3 linked regions of the Yarrowia lipolytica genome follow. The protein of the gene in region 1 purifies or fractionates together with the protein of each later gene. This does not show direct contact. Links are inferred from orthologs where the notes say so. Each region holds a gene or a part of one and is shown in the gene's direction. Other genes may lie near its edges.

The links.
Region 2: the proteins of YALI1_E12730g (region 1) and YALI1_A17570g purify together in Saccharomyces cerevisiae (affinity purification with mass spectrometry; 3 studies listed by BioGRID, with this or other methods). This does not show direct contact. The link is inferred for Yarrowia lipolytica from reciprocal best matches to the Saccharomyces cerevisiae genes COX6 and CYT1.
Region 3: the proteins of YALI1_E12730g (region 1) and YALI1_A03322g purify together in Saccharomyces cerevisiae (affinity purification with mass spectrometry; 4 studies listed by BioGRID, with this or other methods). This does not show direct contact. The link is inferred for Yarrowia lipolytica from reciprocal best matches to the Saccharomyces cerevisiae genes COX6 and RIP1.

What each region holds. Positions count from the first base shown.
Region 1 is NC_090774.1:1,270,299-1,277,662, reverse strand, and holds YALI1_E12730g (uncharacterized protein), read left to right. Parts: upstream 1-4,027; coding exon 4,028-4,194; intron 4,195-4,627; coding exon 4,628-4,913; downstream 4,914-7,364. Other genes in the region: YALI1_E12747g (uncharacterized protein), read right to left, coding at 599-2,986; YALI1_E12711g (uncharacterized protein), read right to left, coding at 5,575-5,922, 6,497-6,499; YALI1_E12703g (uncharacterized protein), read left to right, coding at 7,338-7,364. UniProt on the Saccharomyces cerevisiae protein: Component of the cytochrome c oxidase, the last enzyme in the mitochondrial electron transport chain which drives oxidative phosphorylation.
Region 2 is NC_090770.1:1,752,924-1,760,559, reverse strand, and holds YALI1_A17570g (uncharacterized protein), read left to right. Parts: upstream 1-3,574; coding exon 3,575-4,648; downstream 4,649-7,636. Other genes in the region: YALI1_A17622g (uncharacterized protein), read left to right, coding at 1-172; YALI1_A17583g (uncharacterized protein), read right to left, coding at 424-2,214; YALI1_A17551g (uncharacterized protein), read left to right, coding at 5,429-5,785; YALI1_A17546g (uncharacterized protein), read left to right, coding at 5,921-6,625; YALI1_A17515g (uncharacterized protein), read right to left, coding at 7,367-7,636. UniProt on the Saccharomyces cerevisiae protein: Component of the ubiquinol-cytochrome c oxidoreductase, a multisubunit transmembrane complex that is part of the mitochondrial electron transport chain which drives oxidative phosphorylation.
Region 3 is NC_090770.1:329,033-335,915, forward strand, and holds YALI1_A03322g (uncharacterized protein), read left to right. Parts: upstream 1-3,217; coding exon 3,218-3,895; downstream 3,896-6,883. Other genes in the region: YALI1_A03289g (uncharacterized protein), read right to left, coding at 1-146, 190-215; YALI1_A03300g (uncharacterized protein), read left to right, coding at 1,016-2,635; YALI1_A03351g (uncharacterized protein), read right to left, coding at 5,467-6,114; YALI1_A03356g (uncharacterized protein), read left to right, coding at 6,641-6,883. UniProt on the Saccharomyces cerevisiae protein: Component of the ubiquinol-cytochrome c oxidoreductase, a multisubunit transmembrane complex that is part of the mitochondrial electron transport chain which drives oxidative phosphorylation.

The sequences.
Region 1 (7,364 bases):
GTGTCATCTCCATCTCTGTTGACATATTATGCTTCCGAGACTACAGTGCGTCGATCTCGAAGGAGTGTGGGTGACGGCAAATTGCATGGAACAAGACAACAAAGAACAGACCATGTAAAGAAGGGTCGTGGAAGAGACCAAGACTGTCCTCGACAGACAGCAGGGTCCTCCAGGTCCTCTTCCGAGGGCCTTCTGTCTCGTAAATGGCGGTCTTTCACCTACAAGTAGCGCTGCCACCCCATCGTCCTCAACCCAATCATTTTTTTTTTTTTTTTTTTTTTTTTTTTTTTTTTGCCAAGTAAAGGGGGGTTGGCAAAACAAACGTTGTTAAATTGGACAGGAGCAGTAGCCGAAAACAAACGCCGAGCAATGACCGCGATACTTATGGTAAATGTCAGACGAGAACAAGAGCGAATGCGCGATACTTGTACAATACTCGCGGTCGTCAGATCAAATGCATTCGTTATTCATTATAATTATATATATGCAACGGGACACGCCCTATTATTGTATACCGGACAACCTGCCAGTTTTGGCGGAATGAGTGGCATTGGCCTACCAATACTGTTGTGTAGCGTGGAGAAACAAACCCCTTTCCTCATGCCTCCTTCCAGAATCCGTCCTGACGCTTCTTCATATCCTCCAAACGCTTGTTCCATCGCTCCACCACCTGCTCGTCCACCTGCTCCTGCTTGGCGAGCGTCAGAGCCCACTGAAGCCGTTTCTTGTCACGCGACGCTCCAGGAAGAGCAACTCGATCAAACAACGAGTCCACGAGCTCCTCACACACCTCAGGACCCACCCGCTCGTGCTGCAGACGTAGCTGAGAGATAACCTCGGAAATGTACCGGAAAGACATGCTGTTGGTGAGCTGTTCTGAAGTGGCAAACCCGGGCACCATGGCCCGCAAGATTCGAGGCGGAATGGGGAACATGAAGTCGTGTCTGAACCATCGGATGAGTCTGTAGGCCAGAGCGGGGTCTTCAACAGACAGCGTCTCCAAGTTGGGTTTGTATGTTTCCACACTGAGAACGTCGTAGATCCACTGGTCCATGTCCACAAGCTGTGAAAATGGCTTCTCTTGTTTGCCAATGTGCTGTAGTAAGAACATGTCCAGATCTCGAATCTTCAGGTACTCACTTGGGATCTGAAGCCGTTCTAGCTGAGCCCGTGGAGGCAGTAGGCTCAAATCGAGGTCAGCGTAGGGGTTGGAAACGACTAACCTGGTCTCTGGCTGATCATCGCTCTCTACCTCCGACTCCTCCTTTTCAGCTTCCAAGAAATGGCCTCTTTGGAACCGCCTCCTTCTGGACTTGATTCTGATAGCCATGAGAGCAATAGTGATCAACTGCAGACGTCCGCTTCGATCCACATCGCCCGTCACAGCCTCCATGGCCTTGGATAGCTCAGTCTGAATACACAGCCAGATGGCTCGCACAGACACTTTGGGTAGGAAGTAGTACTCAACTTTTTCAACAGGAGGCCGAGTAAAAATCGCCAGAGCAAAATGCTTCTCCAGAAGCTGAGACCAATGGGGCAGCTTACTAGCCTCGAAGGCACGTAGCAGGTCCCATAGAAGCACCTCCGACTTGTGATATCGTTTGTGAGGCCAGACAGCGCCCACAGCCTTCATGATTACCGAAGGGTGGCTCGAATATGCATCCAACAGACGTGTAATCAGATCAAACTTGTCTGACTCACGCTTGTGTAGACGGTTGTTAAACAACAGATGCAGGTACTGTTTAACTAAGGGAATCGGAGTGTTCTCTCCAAGCACCTTGGTGATGCTACTGGCCGAATGAATATCTCCCAGGGCCACTGCCTTCTCCAGAAACGTCACCATTGTCTGTTTGACAGTCTCATCTTCAGCCAAATGGGCATATTGTGCAGTATATCTTGCCCAGAGACTTCGTAGAGACTTCTGATCGGTCACTAGAGCCGTTACTCGAGCAGTACACCACACTGGGAGGTCATTCTTCTTCTCCAAAACGTCCTTGACCACCCCCAAAAGTCTGGAGTCAGTGATAGCCATTCGTATCACCCTCTCAATGCATGCATGGATCCATTCCTGATGTTTTTCAGCAGCCTGGTTGAAAAACAAGTTGCGCAAAACCTCCGTGTTACCCAATTGCACGTACTTTTCCAACAGCCTCATCTTCTCATATGGCTTAAGAGCATCTTCCAATATGAACGCGCCACTATTGTACTTGGACAACCGGTAGTTGATCCGGTCGTTGTGGTACAGAAAGTCTTGAAGCTGCTGCTCCGTTGCACAGCTATCCAACCCCAGACAAAAATGCAATCCTCCGTTGATGTTACCTATCCAAAACTCCCGGGCCAGCTGTTGGGCAAACCCGTGCTTATCAAAAGCCCTGCACAGTTCGAACGCCGTCACCACTTGTTTCTGTTTATTTTTAGGCCCTCCGTCGGCAATGACCCGGCCGCCCAGCATAAGAATGTCTCCGAACGAGAACTGGTTGGCTAGAAAGTCGGCCACCAGCTCGAATTCTCCATCGGCCACCATCTGCTGACCCAGCAAAATAGCTGTAGAGAGCGGAAGCTGCGGATCTCCTCCATCGTCCATTGAACACGTTTCCCAGAACTGCAGCAGGCTGGAATGATCTATGAGTCGGTTTGCCGCCACCATTCTCACCTGTTCCTCCAACCCCAGATTCATGTGTTTAATCCGCGCCAAAACACGCAGCTTTTGCATCTGCAGCTTGTGTACCGCGCCCTTGGGGCCCTTCTTTCCCTCCCGTATCGGTTGCTCAATCACTTCCTGAACCAAATGCAAAAAAGTCGGCTCTTCGGCCAAGAGAATGTCCTGAATGAACTGCAGCCCTCCCTGAGGCGCCTGAAGCGCACTGAATGCCCTTCTGGGCACCCGAATGGACACCCGCGGCATCTGTATCGATGGAACCAACGCTTTGTAGTCATACCGGGGCCCCAGACCCACGGTACGAACGGCCACGTTGATCCGTCTCATGTCATATAAACACTTTGATCTGCTGTCGACGAGGCGTTTTTTCACGGTGAAACGGCAAACGAGAAGTGAGTGCGCGTGAAGCAGCAGTTTGAACGTGGCTCGGGGCAGTACTGATTCGCTCAGCGTGTTTTGACCTCCTCCGCGTATTGGCCCTTGATTTTTCACCAGAATAATGTCTGCATGCAAACTATGAATGTCGGGTCACGTGACTGCGGAGGATTGAATCTGAAATTTTTTGGAAAATAAAAAGAAAACGAAAAGAATACGAAAAAGAATACGAAAAAGAGATAAAAACAGAAAAGAAAAAGAAAAAGAAAAAGAATAAAAGATCAAATGAGATGAAATCGGCTTGCACCGTGCTGCTCTGATCGGTCTACTTGTACAAGTAGACCCATTCATCATATATATTTGCCAAGTCCTTGTCAATATGTTTTCTCATTCACTCACTACCAATGACTAAGCATGAGCAAATAATGCACCGATATATCTGCTCAATCGCGCATCGTCTAAAAGTGCACTCTTACTCTCCAGACACTCTGACACGCTCTTGTCAGCTTACAACCCTCGAAATGACCTGGCTCGAAAAACAGGCCACCAGCCACACCAGCCACAGCTGACCGTGCATAGCTGACGGCTGATTGGCCAGTTTGTCCCAAGCCCGCATACTGTCGGCAAGGCGGGCTGAGAATGTTGTGGAAGCGCCCCCTAGGAGCGGGTGGAAGTGGAGATGGAGGTTGGACGGCAGAAGTTGCTCTCAAAGTTGTGCGGGGTTCTGTGTCCACCTTGTTTCTGTGTCACGGAGCTCAAACGAGCCCCATCATCCCCCGCCCGGCGATTACTAAAGACTCGTCCCCTATGGCCCATTCCCAGGTATTGGGCCATGACCAAATGTACTGCACATGTCGAAACCTTAATGTTGTGGTGGACTCCTCCAATCAGCTTGCCGAAAAGTTTGGTTGACTTTGCATTTTGGAAAACCAGACCACTTTCGAAACGGTGATATTTACACTCTCATCAGCACGTCACTACCCCAACATCACAATGGTCTTTGCTTCTGCTTTCCGATCTATCGCCCGAGGCTCCGCCCTCAACTCCGCTGCTCGACTGAGCATTGCCCGACCTACCTTCCAGGCCGTGCGAGCCCAGCCTCTTGCTATCCGAAACTACAGCGCTGCTCACGAGGAGACTTTCGATGAGTTCACCACTCGGTGAGTACAACCACATGGAGGATGCGGTTAATGAAACGACGAGATGGACGAGTGTGGACGTGGGAAACGGCTAGTCATACGTGTGGTACAGTGAACACGTGATGACGGTGTTTGCTGTGGTGTCGTGTTTGCTGTTCGGCTATCAGGCGTCAGCTGGGACGAGATACAGGAATCGGCTCAGGGAGACACAATCACAAACGCAGGGAATTGGGAGGTGGAATGAAGACAAGATGACGGTTTTGTCGTCTTTATCCGAGACATCTGACCCTTGATGATTGACCTATCATTCGAACTACAACGTACAATGACACCTCACAGCTCATCACAGCACTCACCATAAACGGACATGACAGAACACCAAGTGGTACGACCAAGACTCGTTCACACGTCACCAATGAGCTGCTGGCCAGTTAAATTCATCTTACTAACACAGATTCGAGAAGGAGTTCGAGGAGGCTTACGATCTGTTTGAGGTCCAGCGAGTTCTCAACAACTGTTTCGCCTACGATCTGGTCCCCGCACCTTCCGTGATCGAGAAGGCTCTCCAGGCCTGCCGACGAGTCAACGACTTCCCCACCGCCGTCCGAGTGTTCGAGGGTCTTAAATACAAGGTTGACAACAAGTCCCAGTACCAGGCATACCTTGACGCTCTCAAGGACGTTCGAGAGGAGCTCGGCATCACCCTCAAGGAGGACCTTTTCCCCAAGCTTGCTGAATAAACGCACTAAAATAGCTAATTGATCGCATATACAAGACACCGCTTGTTTGGTTTCCCTACAAGTACGATAGTGAGCGGCGCACCTGTTGAGGGACATGCTTGTGGAGAGTTGGTGTAGAGCCGGACCATTCTGCTGTATCGTAGCTGTCACGTCACAAGCTGAATAGATCACATATATACTCCGTTCATATCCCTACAAGTACAGTATTCTAATGACTGTAGCATTGGACATCCCGAAACTCGAGCCGCTCTCAATAACATCGCAACCCTATCATGACTGTCATATCAGGGATCGTGTACTGGATGAGTAAACATGCTCTAATGGAAAAAGAAAGCACCGAGAGAAAATGGCCCGACAAGAGTTGTCAGACAAGTTCCGGAGCAATTATTCGGACTTTGTACAAAAAATGAGTACTGTATTTGACAGCTGCACAATGTATGGGTACGTACTCGTACCCGTACATACTGTACTGTAGATACTAGTGATGCCATAAGAAGTCCTCGTCCAATTGTACGAGTATTAGACACTGCGGCTCATGCCCTTTCTTTGGGTACCCTTCCATTCCTACAGCAAGTCAGCATGCCCCCCTTCCACCCCATCCACATTTAATATACATTCTTTTCTTATACATGCACTGTTTGTTCGCCCTGTGAGTTCCGCCTTACTCAAGATCGGAAAACTCATCGTCCTCCTCCTTGGGCACGTGGTCGTCGTCACTAGCATAGCCTCCGTCCTTCTCAATGAACTCGTCATCCTTGTTCTTCTCCTGCTCCGCAACAGCCTCACAGGCGTCGATCCACTCGGAGTAGACATCGATAGGCGCAGACAGAGCGTTGATGCTGGCCTGGAACGACTGGCCACACACCTTGCACGATAGGCTGCCAATGCCCATTTTCTTGTCCATTGAACACACAACCGAGTCGTTGTGGTTGCAAAACAGGCATGCAAACTGGGTTGCCAGCGTTTGTTTCACCTTCTTGGCGGGGGCAGAGGAAGACTTTCGTTTTCCCTGTGTTAGCAGATGTCAAAAACGAGCGAGAGTAGGTGGAGTGGTCGCGGCACATCTGTTCATGAATCATACCAGACGTTAGATTCGACCTGATGAAAGAAGCATGTTGAGCGGCGAATCGAACAATGTAGCAAAACCAAAAAACCGTGACCAGACCACCATCTCGTGCCTGCTTGAAGCGGCGCCCAGATATTTCAGCGGCTGTGGATAACCCGAACGGAAAAGTCAGATGAGCACCACGATAAATACCAACACGGTTCAATGGGGCCTCAGGGTCAACCTCTCGGTGAGGCCATGTCGTCGTGCTTCACTACAGTCGCTGATGAGAAGCCGATAGTATCGAATCGACTTCATAGGAAGACACTCCTATGGGATGGTCGAACCGAACCAGCCGGAAGTACATCCTCGTTCGTGTCATGTCTCGAACCACCCTTGTAATGCGTCTCATGTATGTCATCGCGTAGAGTGATGTCTGAAGTCCCTCTATTGCCGATGATACCACATTCTGTAGTTGCTCTCAAACTAATCAGTCGTTTGTCCAAACCATATGTTTCTCTCCAGCACTCGTACTCACCATGATGTGTTTTTTTGTGTGTATGATAGAGACGCTCTGCAGAGCTTGGATTCTGCGATATTGTATCGAAACTCAAAGTCACGTGGTGCAACGTTGAGGGCAATCGCAATCGACCAGGAGGTGATCAAGACGGTGAATGAAGGTAGCTGGAGAGTAATGTGAGATATCAGGTGATCCGAAACGACCGTTTAATTTAGTCAGCAGAGTTTTAGATAAAAAAATCCGTTGTACTGTACAGTTTGTAGATTGTTGACATGTAGATTTCCTCACTTAGTCATAGTTGACGTTTACTTGGGACAAAGTTATAGTCAACTGAACTGGTCAAGTAGAGTCAACTATACTTAAACGTTTATTAAGTGAGTTCTTCAAAATTTTACCTCCAAATAGATCACACCGTCCCATTAAAAGACAAACACCGCCACAATACACACACAGAACGCCACCCAGACACTGTCGGCACATTCGTAACATTCGACACATTCGACACATTCCTCTACTCGATATGCCCTCCCAATGGTAGTCGGACTTCAGTCAGAGTAACGTTCAGTTGAACTATAGACGACAGGGAGTAGTGAGAACAGGACCACCATATCTAGACCAATAGGTGTCGGATCGACAAGCGAAAAAGTGGGTTTTATTTAGAACAAGTATATATGCGAATTAATGATCTCACAAATGCTATAATCCCAGTCAAAATCTTTGATAATACCTCAATTGGCTCTGCTCAAATCCACCCGCCAGTTTGAGTTTGAAAATCTGCAGCTCTTAAATTTTTTTAGGATTATGCCAAAATTATTTTGCCTGCGATCCACACCCAGACACCAGACTACACAACCCAACAATGGTCGCCAAATCCGCATCCAAGGGA
Region 2 (7,636 bases), on another chromosome or scaffold:
CTACCAGATGGGATTTGTTCCCGTGGTAGCTCTGTCTGTTATTCTGGACGGACGACCCAATATGGAGTTTCTGGGTCTCATGATCATGTCCGTGTACTCTGCCATAGGCGTGTGTGGCAGTTTTGTCGCCTACTCGTGGTTGTACATGTGTGAGCCCGGAATGTGGCAGTAATACCATGTGCTGAGCGAGTAATTGTGCAGCTCGACGTTTTATACAACGCAAATAATCGCACCATACATCGCAGCCCGGCACCTGCGCTCTGCTTATATACACTAATATATTGGATAGATGATTCAATCAAAATTAACTAGACTAATATAACTTATAATGATGGTAATAAATATGTGGGATGCGCGAGCGGTGAGTATTGAAGCAGTTCTCATGGCCAAAACTACTGGTGTGGGCACTCGGTGACACTGAAGTTACCTCTTCCTCGTCCGCCTCGGTCGAGATGCTTCGGTTCCCTCCTCCTGGGCCTTTTTAGCCTGTTTCGACATCTTGTTCTTTGCACCCAGCTCCTTCTTGCGGGCCTTGCGGTCAGCCCGGATCTTGGCGCACGCGTCGCAGTACCAGTCGCCTCGAGGTGGGTGTTTGAGCCCCACGCACTTCATGTGGAACCACTCCGTTTTGCACTTTGGCGAGTCGCACGCAATCATGCGGCCCTGCGAGCCCTTTCGACACGTGCAAAACACGTCTTCCACGGGCGGTGTAGGGGGTGGCAATCGTCTGTTTGCTGTGGATTTCGCCTCTCCAAGACCTTCCTTGTCCTCCTCTTTAGTATCCTCCTCGACCGCCTCTTCAACCACCTCTTTAATAGGGTTTAGAGGCTTTTCCTTGGAAGAGCTCTGGGACCTTGTTCTTCGGCGTTTTGCGGGAGGAGAAGCGACCACATCATCAGCCACAGGTGGGACTTTTGATTGAGAGGGAACCGTTTCATCTTGAGCTTCAGTGTCCACTTCAGGAGTAGTTTCAACCTCGCCTTCTTCGGTGGCCTCCTCTTCTTCCTCATTTTCTTCTTCCTCCTCATTTTCCTCTTCCTCCTTATTTTCCTCTTCCTCCTTATTTTCCTCTTCCTCCTTATTTTCCTCTTCCTCCTCATTTTCCTCTTCCTCCTCGTGTTCCTGCTTATTCTCCCCACCCACACTCTCCTTCTCCTCCACTTCTACCTCTGACCTCCTTCTCTTCCTTCTCTTGGAGGCCTCCTCGTTGACATTGACAATATCCAACGAGCTGAGCTCATGCAAAATGCGGTTGTCGCGCTTGCGGCGTCGAGAATTCTTGCTGTGCTGCTTCTTGTCCTCGTCGTCTGGAGGCGTTGACGGAATCAGAGGAATAGCTTCTTCCGATGCGGTTGTAGCTGACACATCTGCTGGGGGGGGAGAATTCACAGAAAGAGACGCGGGTATGCTGTCTGGCGGAGACTCGGGTAACGCCTCTGACCGTTTCTCCTTCTTCTTTAGCGACTTGCCGGACTTTTTCTTCTTCGGTGACCGCACTTCCTCCGTGATTGGGGTTTCAGTAACCTGTTCAACTGGTTCTTCAACTGGTTCTTCAACTGGTTCTTCAACTGGTTCTTCAACTGGTTCTTCAACTGGCTCCTCGTCAGCCCCAACACCCTCCACAGGCTCATCCACCTCTTGCACACTTCCGTTGGTCTGTTCCGATTGTGCTGCTGCAGTAGCTGTTTCCTCTGCCTCCTCCAACTCCTGTTCCGACGAGGCTTGCAATTCCTTCTCAACATGTCCCCTGTCATCCTCCTCCAACACTCCATTGGTGTCTCCATTCAAAACCTCCGGTGGAAGTTCAAAGGCAACCTGGGGTATAGCTCCTTGTGTATCCTGTCTTTGTGCGCGTACTCCATGTATGTCGTGGTTGTCCCTTGTGTCGCTCGTGTCCGCCTCTCGGACCACCTGGTCTCCATCTTCTCCACTGGCCAAAACGCGTAAAGCTTGGCGGCCCTTAGCCAATTCGCCCTCAACCAAACGGGCCACGTCAGCAGCTTTCACCGCACTATTGTGCTGCAGCATCGTCAGTTGGTTGTAGATGCTCGATATCTCTCGTCGAACCGACAGTGAAGACAGAGGATACGCGTCGGGGTCGGAGGAGCATTTGGACGTCAAATCTTCCAGCTGCCGCGATAACAGATCGGTGCGGTCTCGAAGCGAGTTCAAAAGAGCCAGCGACCGCACGATGGCCGGCGCATTATTGTTCATTTGCCGCAGATACCGTGTTGTGCTGGTTTGAAGGGGGTTCCACAGTCCTGGGATATTATGACAGCTGGATAAACTTTTCCCGAAAATAAGCTTTTGTGGTGACAATGGTAAATGGGGCAGGTGTTCGGGAACACGAGATGGGGCCAAATGAACGGTGCGGCGATGTCGGGGAGAAATGTACGATTCGAACGGTACCAGAAATGTCAAGTTTCGTCATGTTTAAGAAATAGTCTGAAATTATATTTTGTTCTTTTGGGCGACCTGTGCTTGAAAACCAGAAATAGAGTTCAATAAGTCGGCTTAGTAATCGTCCTGAGAACGGGCAATGTTTAAGGAGAGCAACATTGTAATATTGTATATGAAATGTACAATAGTAAATGTCGATGAGGACATGCATGCATGGACTGGGCGGTTGAACCTTTGATTGTACAGATTATGAGCTGTTAATGAACTTTATTGGGGGAGCTGTATAGCACAGGTTAGGACCTGTATAACTCCTCGTTCGTTACAATTCAGATTATGAGTTAGTTTGCTCGACATTGTGTCATTCGGCGTTGCAGTCTCATGTCCCCCTACAATATCCAACGCCTCCAGATCATACCATATTATGGTTTCGAGGCTAAAGTCATATTGGGCAACCGGCGAGCATATGGGTTAGGGTTCTTTTATTATACGCTAATTGTCATTGGTTGGGAGAAAGGCGGTGGAAATTGGCGTGTTTGAGTGGAGTTGAAAAATAGGGTGGAATGGGTGTAGAGGAAGAGGGTGATGGAGTGGGCAATGGCGGCGGTCGATTCGGGGGCGCAAAGAGGGTTTATATAGATAAATTTGTGGGGACACAAAGACCCACGGCCTCCCCATTTGGCCCCGTTTAAACTCCAAAGACCAATGGCAGCACCCTCTTTGCACGACAACACAAGTCCCAAACCACATTTAGAAATCAGCCAATCACAGGTGCGCTTAATCCTGCTCCCGCATTTTTTACCACCCAAGTACGTTAACTCGGCCTGCTACACTCTTCCATCAAAAGGTTTGTCACCACTTTTGTAACCGATATCCAGGGTGAGTATCGGCAATGGGGGCGCTGGGGCGCTGGGGCGCGGACGACGACTGGAGCCATGTCACCGATCAATTGCCAGTGGGTCCAGGTGGTGTTGGCACTGGTGTTGAGGTGGTCATGTTCTGAGTATTACCGCAAGGAGAGACGAGACAAGTGACACGGAGAGGGAGAAAAGGAAAAGAGGACTGGGACGACAAGGCCAGGTGAAACCACGACTCTGGGCATGTGGCGCGATTCCGTGTCGGTGAGGAGGAGAGATGACGACAAGGATCGATCCCAAAGTGCGACACGCCGACCACAATGTGGGACAGCACACCCAACGCAACTGCAGCAGCAACAAGAGCATCGACATTGCGACCGAGAAACTACATTCGCAGCGAAATGCGACGACGGCGAATTGGCGTGTGGCCCGAGAATCGACGTGTGTCACGTCTGTGGGTCTCATTGTCACCCCGGTCTTGCGTCACTTGCCCCGTCCCAACCAATCAAAACCCGCCCATCAACAATCATCACACACCCATACTAACGCAGATGTTCAAAGCAATCCCCCTTCGACAGGCCCTGCTCGGAATCTCCTCCGCCGTGTGTGCCGGTGCCACCACCACCTACTACTACACAACCAAGGCTGAGGCCATGACCGCCGCTGAGCACGGTCTCCACCCAGCGGAGTACCCCTGGCCCCAGAATGGCATGCTCTCCACCTTTGACCACGCCTCTCTGCGACGAGGCTACCAGGTCTACAAGGAGGTCTGCGCCGCCTGCCACTCTCTGGACCGAATCGCCTGGCGAAACCTCGTGGGCGTGACCCACACCACCGATGAGGCCAAGGCTTTCGCTGAGGAGCTCGAGTACGACGACGAGCCCGATGATGAGGGTAACCCCCGAAAGCGACCCGGAAAGCTCGCCGACTACATTCCCGGCCCCTACCCTAACGAGCAGGCTGCCCGAGCCGCCAACCAGGGAGCTCTTCCCCCGGATCTGTCCCTCATTGCCAAGGCCCGACACGGAGGTGCCGACTACATTTTTGCTCTGCTGACCGGCTACCCCGACGAGCCTCCTGCCGGCGTCGTGCTCGCCCCCGGAATGAACTACAACCCCTACTTCCCCGGAGGAGGCATTGGTATGGCCCGAACTCTGTTCGACGGTGTTGTCGAGTACGAGGACGGCACTCCCGCCACCACCTCCCAGATGGCCAAGGATGTCGCTGCCTTCCTGACCTGGGCTGCCGAGCCTGAGCATGACGAGCGAAAGAAGCTTGGTCTCAAGGCCATCATTGTCATTTCCGCCATGCTTGGACTGTCGGTCTACATCAAGAAGTTCAAGTGGTCCCCCATCAAGAACCGAAAGTTTATCTACAACCCCCCCAAGAACTAGATGCATAGTTAATGAACTAAAACAATTGACACGAAGCAGTCCACGCGTGGGCCGACGAGAAAAAAGCCGTCGGCCTGTGAGTGGGCGTATGAGTTTGAGTACGTTGACGAGGAAGTCATTGAGGAGTCACCGAGGTCACCGAGGAAGCCCAAGACTTTCCAGTGAGCTTAGGATGACGACTGAGCTGTAGCTAGGATTGTAGATTGAGATTGAGTTCTCAGTTGCCAGGATTGTAGATTGGTCTGTAGAGGGCGTGACAGGATGTAAAAGAAAGCGAATGATACCTCGGACTGTACGGGTACACCACAGGCAACAAGTGCGCGTGCTGTAGATAGACCAGGACAGTTGGACTGTGTTGTGATCACTGAATAGCACAGTATTCGTTGGAGTGTTCTTGACTCCATCTGCTGCTTTGTAAGCCGCGACTGGCATGGTGTCTTCTGGTGTCCATCTACTGAGGAAGGACTGGAGGAAGGACTGTGAAGCTAAGTACCCTCGTTGAGTCAGCCAGTGACAAGTTGGACTTGGAGGAAGTGGAACCAACCCCGAGGTTGTATAGCACCATTCACAGCTGGGAGCGCCACCTCCTCCGCTGAGACCAATTGAGAGAATCGTCTGGGTCAGTCGAGGGAGTGGGCATCTCGCGGTTTAAATACCAACTCTAACCCCACACAACATGCACATTGTCATGTACAAAAAAAAAAACATTCATCTTAACCCGAAATTTCATTCCCACCTCTTTTCTCCACCCCCTTTTTCTCCACTGATACCACCAAAACCATGGCGACATTCAGGATCAGCAAATACATCTATCTGCACAAAAACGCGCCGACTCCGCAGGGACTGGCTAGCAGCAGCATTGACCGCGACGCGTCCGAATGGACCAAATACCAAAACTCGCCCCTAGAGCTCTCCATTGATACCACGCCCGCCGGGGGCGCGAAAATTTCCCTCAAATACAAAAACACCTCTTTGGAGCATGTTGACACAGACGAGATTGAGGAGCGGTTCGGATCCACCTACGGAAAGAACAACCCGCCGTTTGTGGCCATTTGTAGACCGCCAGGGATTGGTTTCAAGTACTTGGTGAGGAGATTCCATACCATGGTGAGTGTTCCACGAGTCGGTTACGAATGAGCGACGCAAGTGGTTGTCCACATTACAATATTATTGATACCTTCAACGCCAACGCAGCAATACCCTAACATGATACCCTGAGATATCCTTTTCCAGCTAACCAAGACTTATCGCTTTCAAATCAAATTCGCGTACATGGACGAATACGACCGGGCAGTGGAAATGCTATCAAAGGCGGGAGTGTGTATCAAGGGTAGCCCTCCCAAGTCTACCAGGACTGAAGGTGCCACCCTGACCTCCTTCAAAAACTTCAACCCAGAGTCTCAGTGGAACGGAGAAGATGATGATGGCGACCTCACCCAGATTGATCCCTTTCTCCAGTCTCAAACCCTCTCTCCCACCCAACCTCCTGGTCCAGCTACTGAGCCTCCAGTTATGAGCCAGACTTTTGTTGATCCCCCCAGTTCGTCGCAAGCATCTCCCCCATACCAATTCAAGCACTCTCGGTCTGCGAGGCTAGCACCATCGTCGTCGCAGTCCTATCTGCCGGTGAAGCCAACCCCATTGTCGCAGCCAAGGAGATTCTCTGAGACTTCTACGTGGAAACGCACCGTTGACGATATGCCTTCTTTGGGGGCTTCTCCTGTCAGCTCGCCCCCCAACTCTCCGAAAAGAGCCAAGTCGTGGAAGAAGCACTTTACCCCTGCAGATACAGACGTTCGGAGCGGGAATGGGATGGTCAGCAGAGGAACACAGACCGAGGACCCCGAATGGCTGACTGACACGCAAGCTATGGAGAACCACATTGTGGATGTGGTCCAAAATCCTTTGTTCGACGCATATGTTGCACGCATCAAGGAGTTGATGAAAGGCGACCAATTCGAGAAGGACGGATTCTGAGAGAAGGGGGATGTGTATATTAGTTGTAATAAAAGTATTGTGATGTAGTCTTTTGGTTTTTTTCACGATATAGTCCAGTTTAGACTGTTGTCATCTACCTGGTCAAAGGAATAGTGAACAAGTATAGAAATATAGAAATGAGAGGCCGTTTTCTCAATTTCATGAGCTCTAGAAACCCGTCCATATCTTCCAATTGATAGCTTTCAACTACAGTACCGTATGTACTTGGGTTCTGTTAATACCAACTACGATTTCCACTATAGTCGCATCTACCTGTCTCCAATATTGATATAGCAATTGATAGAAAAGAGCCACCAGTCGGTTCTATAGAGGCTTTCTTATTCGATTGGCATTGTTTGTACGACTAATAGTCATTATATTATCCTTCTCTGAATCGGCGATGGTGTGGCCTTCTACATAGCATGTAGTATATACAAGAGTGTAGAGTAACATACAATTCATTAATTAAATGAAAAACAAGTCTTATCATACCATTGGTAGACAGTACTAGACAAGAGATGACTTTGCATGGACGGTCTTTCTTGCCTTATGCTAATTGTGACCATGCCAGACAGAGGACTTTCACTTGAGTGATTGCGCGTGGGCAATTGAGTCACGTCCCACTGTGTTTAGTGCCCCCATCATATCCCATCATATCAGATGCTCGGTGCTGTTGTATCGCCTGTCCATTGTGTCACGTGTTATGGTGTCGTATGCTTCTTATCACGTCCCTCTTTCCGACTATCTAGCAAAACCCGGAATGGAGACCGGCTCGTCATCGGTCACCTCGGGCTGGGCAGTGTTGAAATGCTGAGTAGACACGTGCTCGACACGAGCCATGCCGGCCCGGCTGGTGGCATTGTTGACTCCGGGCAGCGTCTTGACTGAGACGCCTTCCTCCTTGGGTTCGTAGTACTTGTCTCTGAAGGAGGTGGGGTCTCCGGGCCGAGGTCGTGCCCAGAAACGAGTCATTCGGTCGAGACCTCCCGAACAAAGCACGTGGCCTTCGGG
Region 3 (6,883 bases), on another chromosome or scaffold:
CCAGAGTGATATGGTCCTTGAAGGTCTGGTATCCCTTCTTGAGCACAATCTTCTCGGGAGCAGTTCCGATCTGGGCTGCCAGCAGCTTCTTGAAGTCGCCAATAGTGTCTTCAGGTAGACACTTGACCCGCACCTTCTTGCCCACACTGTGTTAGACATGTTGGTAGATCAGGAAAAATAGATACTCACCGATCGTTGCAAGTGATTTCAATCATTTCTGGGTTCCTGAATGTTGGATGGGAATATTTGCAACTTCTCTGATGTCCATGCACGGAGATAGTCCAGTATAGTTAAGCTTTTAAATTCGTTAATATGTTTTTATGGAGTGTTAGGGGGGTGTCAAGTAGAGGGTCATTAGATCCCCTTGAAGTACGAGTACTGTGCTCGTGGTTGTATCATTAAAATGCACTTTTCGACACAAAACAGTCTTTTCCGGCTATATTCCGACTTTTCCCGCCATTTCTGGCTTCCCATAAAATGCTTTCTATCGGATCATATTCAGCCAACTCGATGCTCCAAACTTTGTAAAACTATCTCAGTATGTACAGTACACTACATACAACAATATACACTAGGCAAGCCACCTCCCCATATCACATCATTGATACCATTGCATACCATTCGCACCACTCATACCACTGAGCATTCCACGTGATCATCTCATGAACAGCAAGTTTGCCACGGTCTCATCGATACACTGAACACCAGCCCTTCTGATACCTCCACCACCAGCCGGCACTTGTGGAGACACAAACCCGGACCCACCTCACGTCGCGCGCCAGAATGAGTCTGTTTGTTCTTGCTCTCATTTACTGCGTTACGTTTATTCTCCTCTGTTTCTGGTGTTTCTGGTGATCTCCAGCGTTCACCTGCCACCTTTTTGTCCTCACCTGACAAGATATACCCATCCCGCACACAATACCAAAACACAGTCTGGCAGCTACAACAATACCTCTTCTTTTCAACAACACTTTCAGTGCTCTTCACTGGGTGGAGAAGGATACGCCGAGGATATATGATACCCACCAACAATCGGCTTCGACCAGGCATGGGGAAAAACATCATTCTCTGCCTGGATGGCACGTCCAACAGTTTCGGAGCAGGTCCCGAAACCAACGTCCTCAAGCTGTTCCGCATGCTCGAAAAGGACTCACCCAACCAATTGGTTTATTACCAGCCCGGAATCGGAACCCACATCACCGTCGACCTGCCCAAAACCATCTGGTCAGCAGCATACTCATACGCAGAAAAAATTGTCGACATTGGAATAGCCTGGTCCCTTGATGCACACATTATTGCCGCCTACATGTTCTTGATGAAACACCATTGCCATGGCGACCGGATATACCTGTACGGCTTCTCAAGAGGTGCCTTCACCGCTCGAATCCTCGCAGGTATGCTGGACCGAGTCGGATTATTGTCTCCAGGCCAGAACGAACTGGTACCTTGCGCGTGGGAAATCTACAAGACGTGGGAAGCAGCTGGTCAGCCTATGGAAGACAAGACGTCCAACCTGGCATGCTCTTTCAAGTCGACATTCAGTGTCCCTTCTGTGTGCGTCTACTTCATGGGTTTGTGGGACTCCATCAACAGCAGTGGCATTATTCTGGACCGCTCGTTCCCCTACACCTCTTCGGCGGGTATCGTTCACCACATTCGACATGCTGTCGGCATTGATGAACGACGAGCCAAGTTTAAACAGAACCTCTTTGTCCCTCATTGCTACAACCCAACACTTTTTGGTCCTTCCGGCATATTTGCCGAGCGTCAGAGCCCTGAACTGACTCCTGAGGCAAGCCCACAGACCAGTATTGTTTCCAGTGTCCGCGTCAGCCCTGTTGAGAGTCGGCAGCATACACCCAAAGGATCGATGGTCATACTGAGACACCCTACTTCTCCTGTCCCTATCAGTGCGAGCACACCGGTTCTTGCAAGTGGGTCATCAATTCGAACCACGGCTTCAGGACGTCGATTTCCTTGCAGCAGCCGTTCAGAACTGTCCCACATGTTCCGTGCTCACTCTGAACAATCTCATATGATTGGGACACAGAAAACACGCCATAGACCGGAGCGATCAGGAGATCTCGTGGAGTTGTGGTTCCCAGGTGACCATGGTGACGTAGGGGGAGGATGGTTACCTCGAGGGTCACCACATTTGCTCTCTGACATTCCTCTGGCGTGGATTCTCTCCGAGAGCGTCAAGTTTAAGGTGATCTTTAAGGAGGGAGTGATTGACGAATTTCGAAACAACCATGATCCCGAAGAGTGTCTTATTGCACCCATGCACGACTCTCTAAATCTCTTTCGACGTCAGGGAGAAAACGGTCGTGGAGAAGATCCTTGGTGGAGACCGTGGTTCTGGTGGTTTCTTGAAACCATGCCGGTCGCTTACCGGGTTGAGAACGAGGAAGAGAAATGGACAAGGGTTGCAGTTCCCAATTACGGTCGGGCACGGACCATTCCTATGGGTGCCAAATTTCATTGGAGTGTGGCTTGGAGAATGAGGTTGGTTGACGGATATCGTCCGTTTGATCGTTCAGAGGATGATGACGGTTCCAGTGTGACTGGCGGTGGAAGTAGCAGTGACGAATACGGTGCTATTCCCGATGACTTTGACTGTCATGATGGTTGCTAGGATGTAGTTTTATATCCTGTAGTATTTATATTTCTTGTGTCAATTTACTTGTACTGGGTACTGTGTCAAAGTCCCCCGTAAGAATCGAACCCCCGACCGTTGGGACGCGATTAAGGTTGTCGCTTTGTATGGGGTCGGAACAAAGCAGGCAGCAATGCACTGTGAAATCAGCCAACCAAAAGCGAAACGATAATGCGGCCGAGGGAGTGCATTCAATTCGGTCAATTCGACAAACAGGAGACATCTGGCCGGTTTGATGGGATAATTGGCCGATTATTCTCGATTAAGTAAGCAAACTCGTCGAGATTTGTGCATTTTTGGCCTTGTTTGGCAACTCGTCATTTTGCCAATCCATACACCGACTGCAGCTTTAGAGATGGCCTTACCTCCCAATGGCTTTTGGAGTTCTCCCAATGGTCAAACAAATTAAGGTTTTCAGGGTAGGGGCTCGGGTGGACCAATCACAGTGGCGAAATATGCGCTGCGAGGGAGTTTTTGCAAAAGCTAACATTTGCACGTAAGGTCCCAAGTCAAGCACACACCACACTTCAACCTCTCTTGACACTCACCCTCGACTGAACAATGAGCCTGCTTCGAACCGCCGCCCAGGCCGTCAAGGCCCCCAAGGCCTACACTCCTCTTGTGGCCGCAAAGGCCTTTGCTCAGACCCGATCTGTCTCTTCACAGCCCATTGGTGGCAAGTCCACATACAAGATCCCCGACTTCACTCCTTACCTCAAGAAGGACCGAAACACAGATGCCAACCGTCTCTTCTCCTACTTCATGATTGGATCGTTTGGCATGCTCTCCGCTGCCGGCGCCAAGGCCACCGTCCAGGACTTCCTTTCCAACATGTCTGCTTCCGCTGACGTTCTGGCCATGGCCAAGGTCGAGGTCAAGCTCGGTGCCATTCCCCTCGGTAAGAACGTCATCATCAAGTGGCGAGGAAAGCCCATTTTCATCCGACACCGAACCTCCGAAGAGATTGAAGAGGCCAACGAGGTCAACGTTGCTACCCTGCGAGACCCCCAGACTGACGACGAGCGAGTGCAGAAGCCCGAGTGGCTGGTCATGATCGGAGTCTGCACCCATCTGGGTTGTGTGCCCATTGGTGAGGCTGGAGACTTTGGCGGCTGGTTCTGCCCCTGCCACGGATCCCATTACGACATTTCCGGCCGAATCCGACGAGGCCCCGCTCCTCTCAACCTCGAGATTCCCGAGTACGACTTTGCTGACGCCGAGACTCTGGTCATTGGTTAAGGGATATAAAAGTGCATGCACGAGAGTGTAATAAATTTATAATCGAACGACTGACAGGCCAGTGCGATCCACGAGTCTGGCCGGTGACACGAGCACCATGTAGATAACACGACGACAAATGACGGTGACAAGAGCATGGGCGGAGTTTGACTGATGGAGGATGTAGATCTGGATTTCCGCTGGGATGTCAGTATGAAATGCTGAAATTCTACCGAGTGTCCTCGTTATCGTGTGGTATCTGCTATATCTGCAAAGGCCATGCTGGTGTGTTGTGGTTATCGTGTGTGGAGTGTAGATGTTGGGTTTCGCTGTTACCATGTGAATGTGGTAGAGGGATCGCTGATAAAAGTATATAAGGGGATGCTAAGTTGCACAATCGTCCATCTCATTTTCTTCACATTATCGAGATTCCGTCTCTACCACCATGACCGCCATCGCCACCATCTTAAAGTCCCATTCCTGACATCACCCATGACCTGCTGATTCAGAGTTGCGTCTCAAGAACCATTGGTCACTGGGAGGTTGTCTGACCAAATAAAGTTGCGGAACAACACAACATGGGAGGAAAAACACGAGAGGAGCTGAGCGGGACGTCGTTCGAGAGGACAGGAGCGTTGACTTATCTGTTTGGAACGGTTGTGAATGTTGTCTGCATCGCAGTTTTAGTCTTCCAGTCCAGTGTCTTTCTCAATGACGTCATCGTCTCGTCCATCCGGCTGCAAACATAGGGGGTAATCCATGTTCGGCTATCAAGATTAGGACGTTGGGCTTGTCACATTAGAAGCAACTTAATTTGACTGGGAAATGGAGTGACAAAATAAAATGAAGTTAGAGGAGGCAGTTGGAGAGCTGGAGATGGAGCAATGAGGTGAGACCGAAAGACGAAAGACGGAAGAAAAAAAGAAAAAAACAGAATGACGAAATGAGAAGAAAAGTTATATTTCCAATCTTTCTTGAATTGATTCTTGGCGGTAATCGTCGTAAATTCATCGCTCTCATCGGTTGCCTCACATTACACACTCTGAATGGGTTCACTATGTTCAGTCAATGAACCCCAACTGAGTAAGTGCAGACTTTGAAGATGCTTGCAACGGCTTCCTCCAGTTCTTTGAACCAACCGCGGAAGGAAGATGTTCTTCGTGCGTTTACAGTACTTGTACTTTTCAGCACCTCTCTAAAAGTACATCATACTGTTTTTTGTTTTTTTCTGCATCCAAACGTCCAATAGGCCTAAGTAATTACATAGTTTACTTGGAATCAGACCAACTAAAAAAACTCCATTTACTTCACCAGAAACAAGACTGGCTGGAAGAGAAGTATCGTATATTGTGAAGACAGCAAGACTCACTTGAAAACCGATGCTTGTGAGAACAGGCAAAACGCGAGTAATAACATGTACGTACCGTAAAAACATCCCTGATACCTCGCACGGTTCCATCACGTTCACACCCAACGCACCAAAACACCTACACTTGCACCCATCTACATCCCCATATCAAATGCCAATATTAATGTATATATACCGGGTTCCCATTCCATCCTTTTACGTGCGAGTGAACACCTCTACACCCCTAATCAATCTCAATGGCCACAGCAGAGCCCTCCACAGAGTCCTCAGGAACAGGGGTGCTGGTGGCTGTGCTTGCTCTCACCGGCGTAGAAGTTCCAGTGCCGGCATTGGATCCTGCCGATGCCCCGGCGCCGCTGGGCTTGAAGAAGTTGGTTAGCGAAATGTTGCCTGTAGGCTCCTTGGGCACCTGGACCCCTCGAGACTGAAGTGATCGCGCAGGAATGGTTCTGGGGATGATGTCCTGCAGAAACTCGAGCTTGGGGTTCTTAGCTATCGCCTCGGCCACGTCCTTGTACGCCAACGTCTTTCGCTGGTCCATTCGAGCCATGAGACCAGCCTGTTCCGACAGGTACCGCACAAAGTCCTGGGTGGCCGCGTTGATGGCGGCATAGGCGGCCACAGACACGAGCGACACGTCATCGTCCTGGTTGACGATTCGCTTGGTTCTTGCTAGAGGCAGCTTGATGTTTGGAGTCTTGTCGGCGGCAGTTGTTGGTGTTTCTGTGGACGCTCCGGATTCTTTGATTTGCGCGTTGTTTTCTTCTTCCTGGGCCTCGTGAGTGTCCACGGTCTCCTCCACGGTCTCCTCCACGGTCTCCTCCACGGTCTCCACCTCCTCGCTATCTCTCATTTCCACGTCCTGGCTCATCTTCGTAATGTTCGTATTAGTTGGAACTGATGCGTTTGGCTTTATGGCTGATCGTGCTGCATGACGTGTTGGCGTAGGTAATCACGTACAGTTGGGAATCGAAATTGATTTTCCAAATGTCTTCAATAGGTGGGAGATCTAATATCTATATATATTCGGGAAACGTGTTTGTGTAACTTGTATCTGCCCCAGCACACGACCAATGTCGTGATTTCTCAATCTGCAAATATATAAACAGCTCCATTATTCCCACTTTTATTTTTGTTCTACTTTACACTCTTACTTGCAGTCTCACTCAATCTCTACGTTTCAGCCACCACATCAAAGTTCATGCATAGACAACTATCAATCTACAAGTTCGACTATCACGGCCAAAATGACCAGAAGGTGAGTACCATGCGCACAAAACGGCTCACCCGACTCAAGCTAACATAGACGTTCGGTGAACATCTCGGACGTGACGGAGGTCAGAAGATATGAGGACTTCTCGACCATCGACTGGGTAGATGTGGCTGCCAGAGAAAACATGCTGCGATGCCTGACGATTGAAAAGTTCCGACCGGCGTCCCGAGTCGCAGCAGGGTCAAGCGACACCCGAGGACGAATTCGACACAAGCTCTATGAGGTCTACACGGCAGCTCAATCATGGCTGGTACTGGCCCTCATCGGTATGGCTATCGGAGCTATAGCAGCCGTGCTCAACATTTCGACCGAGTGGCTCGCCGACCTCAAAACGGGCTACTGCTCTACAGGATTCTATCTGAATGAA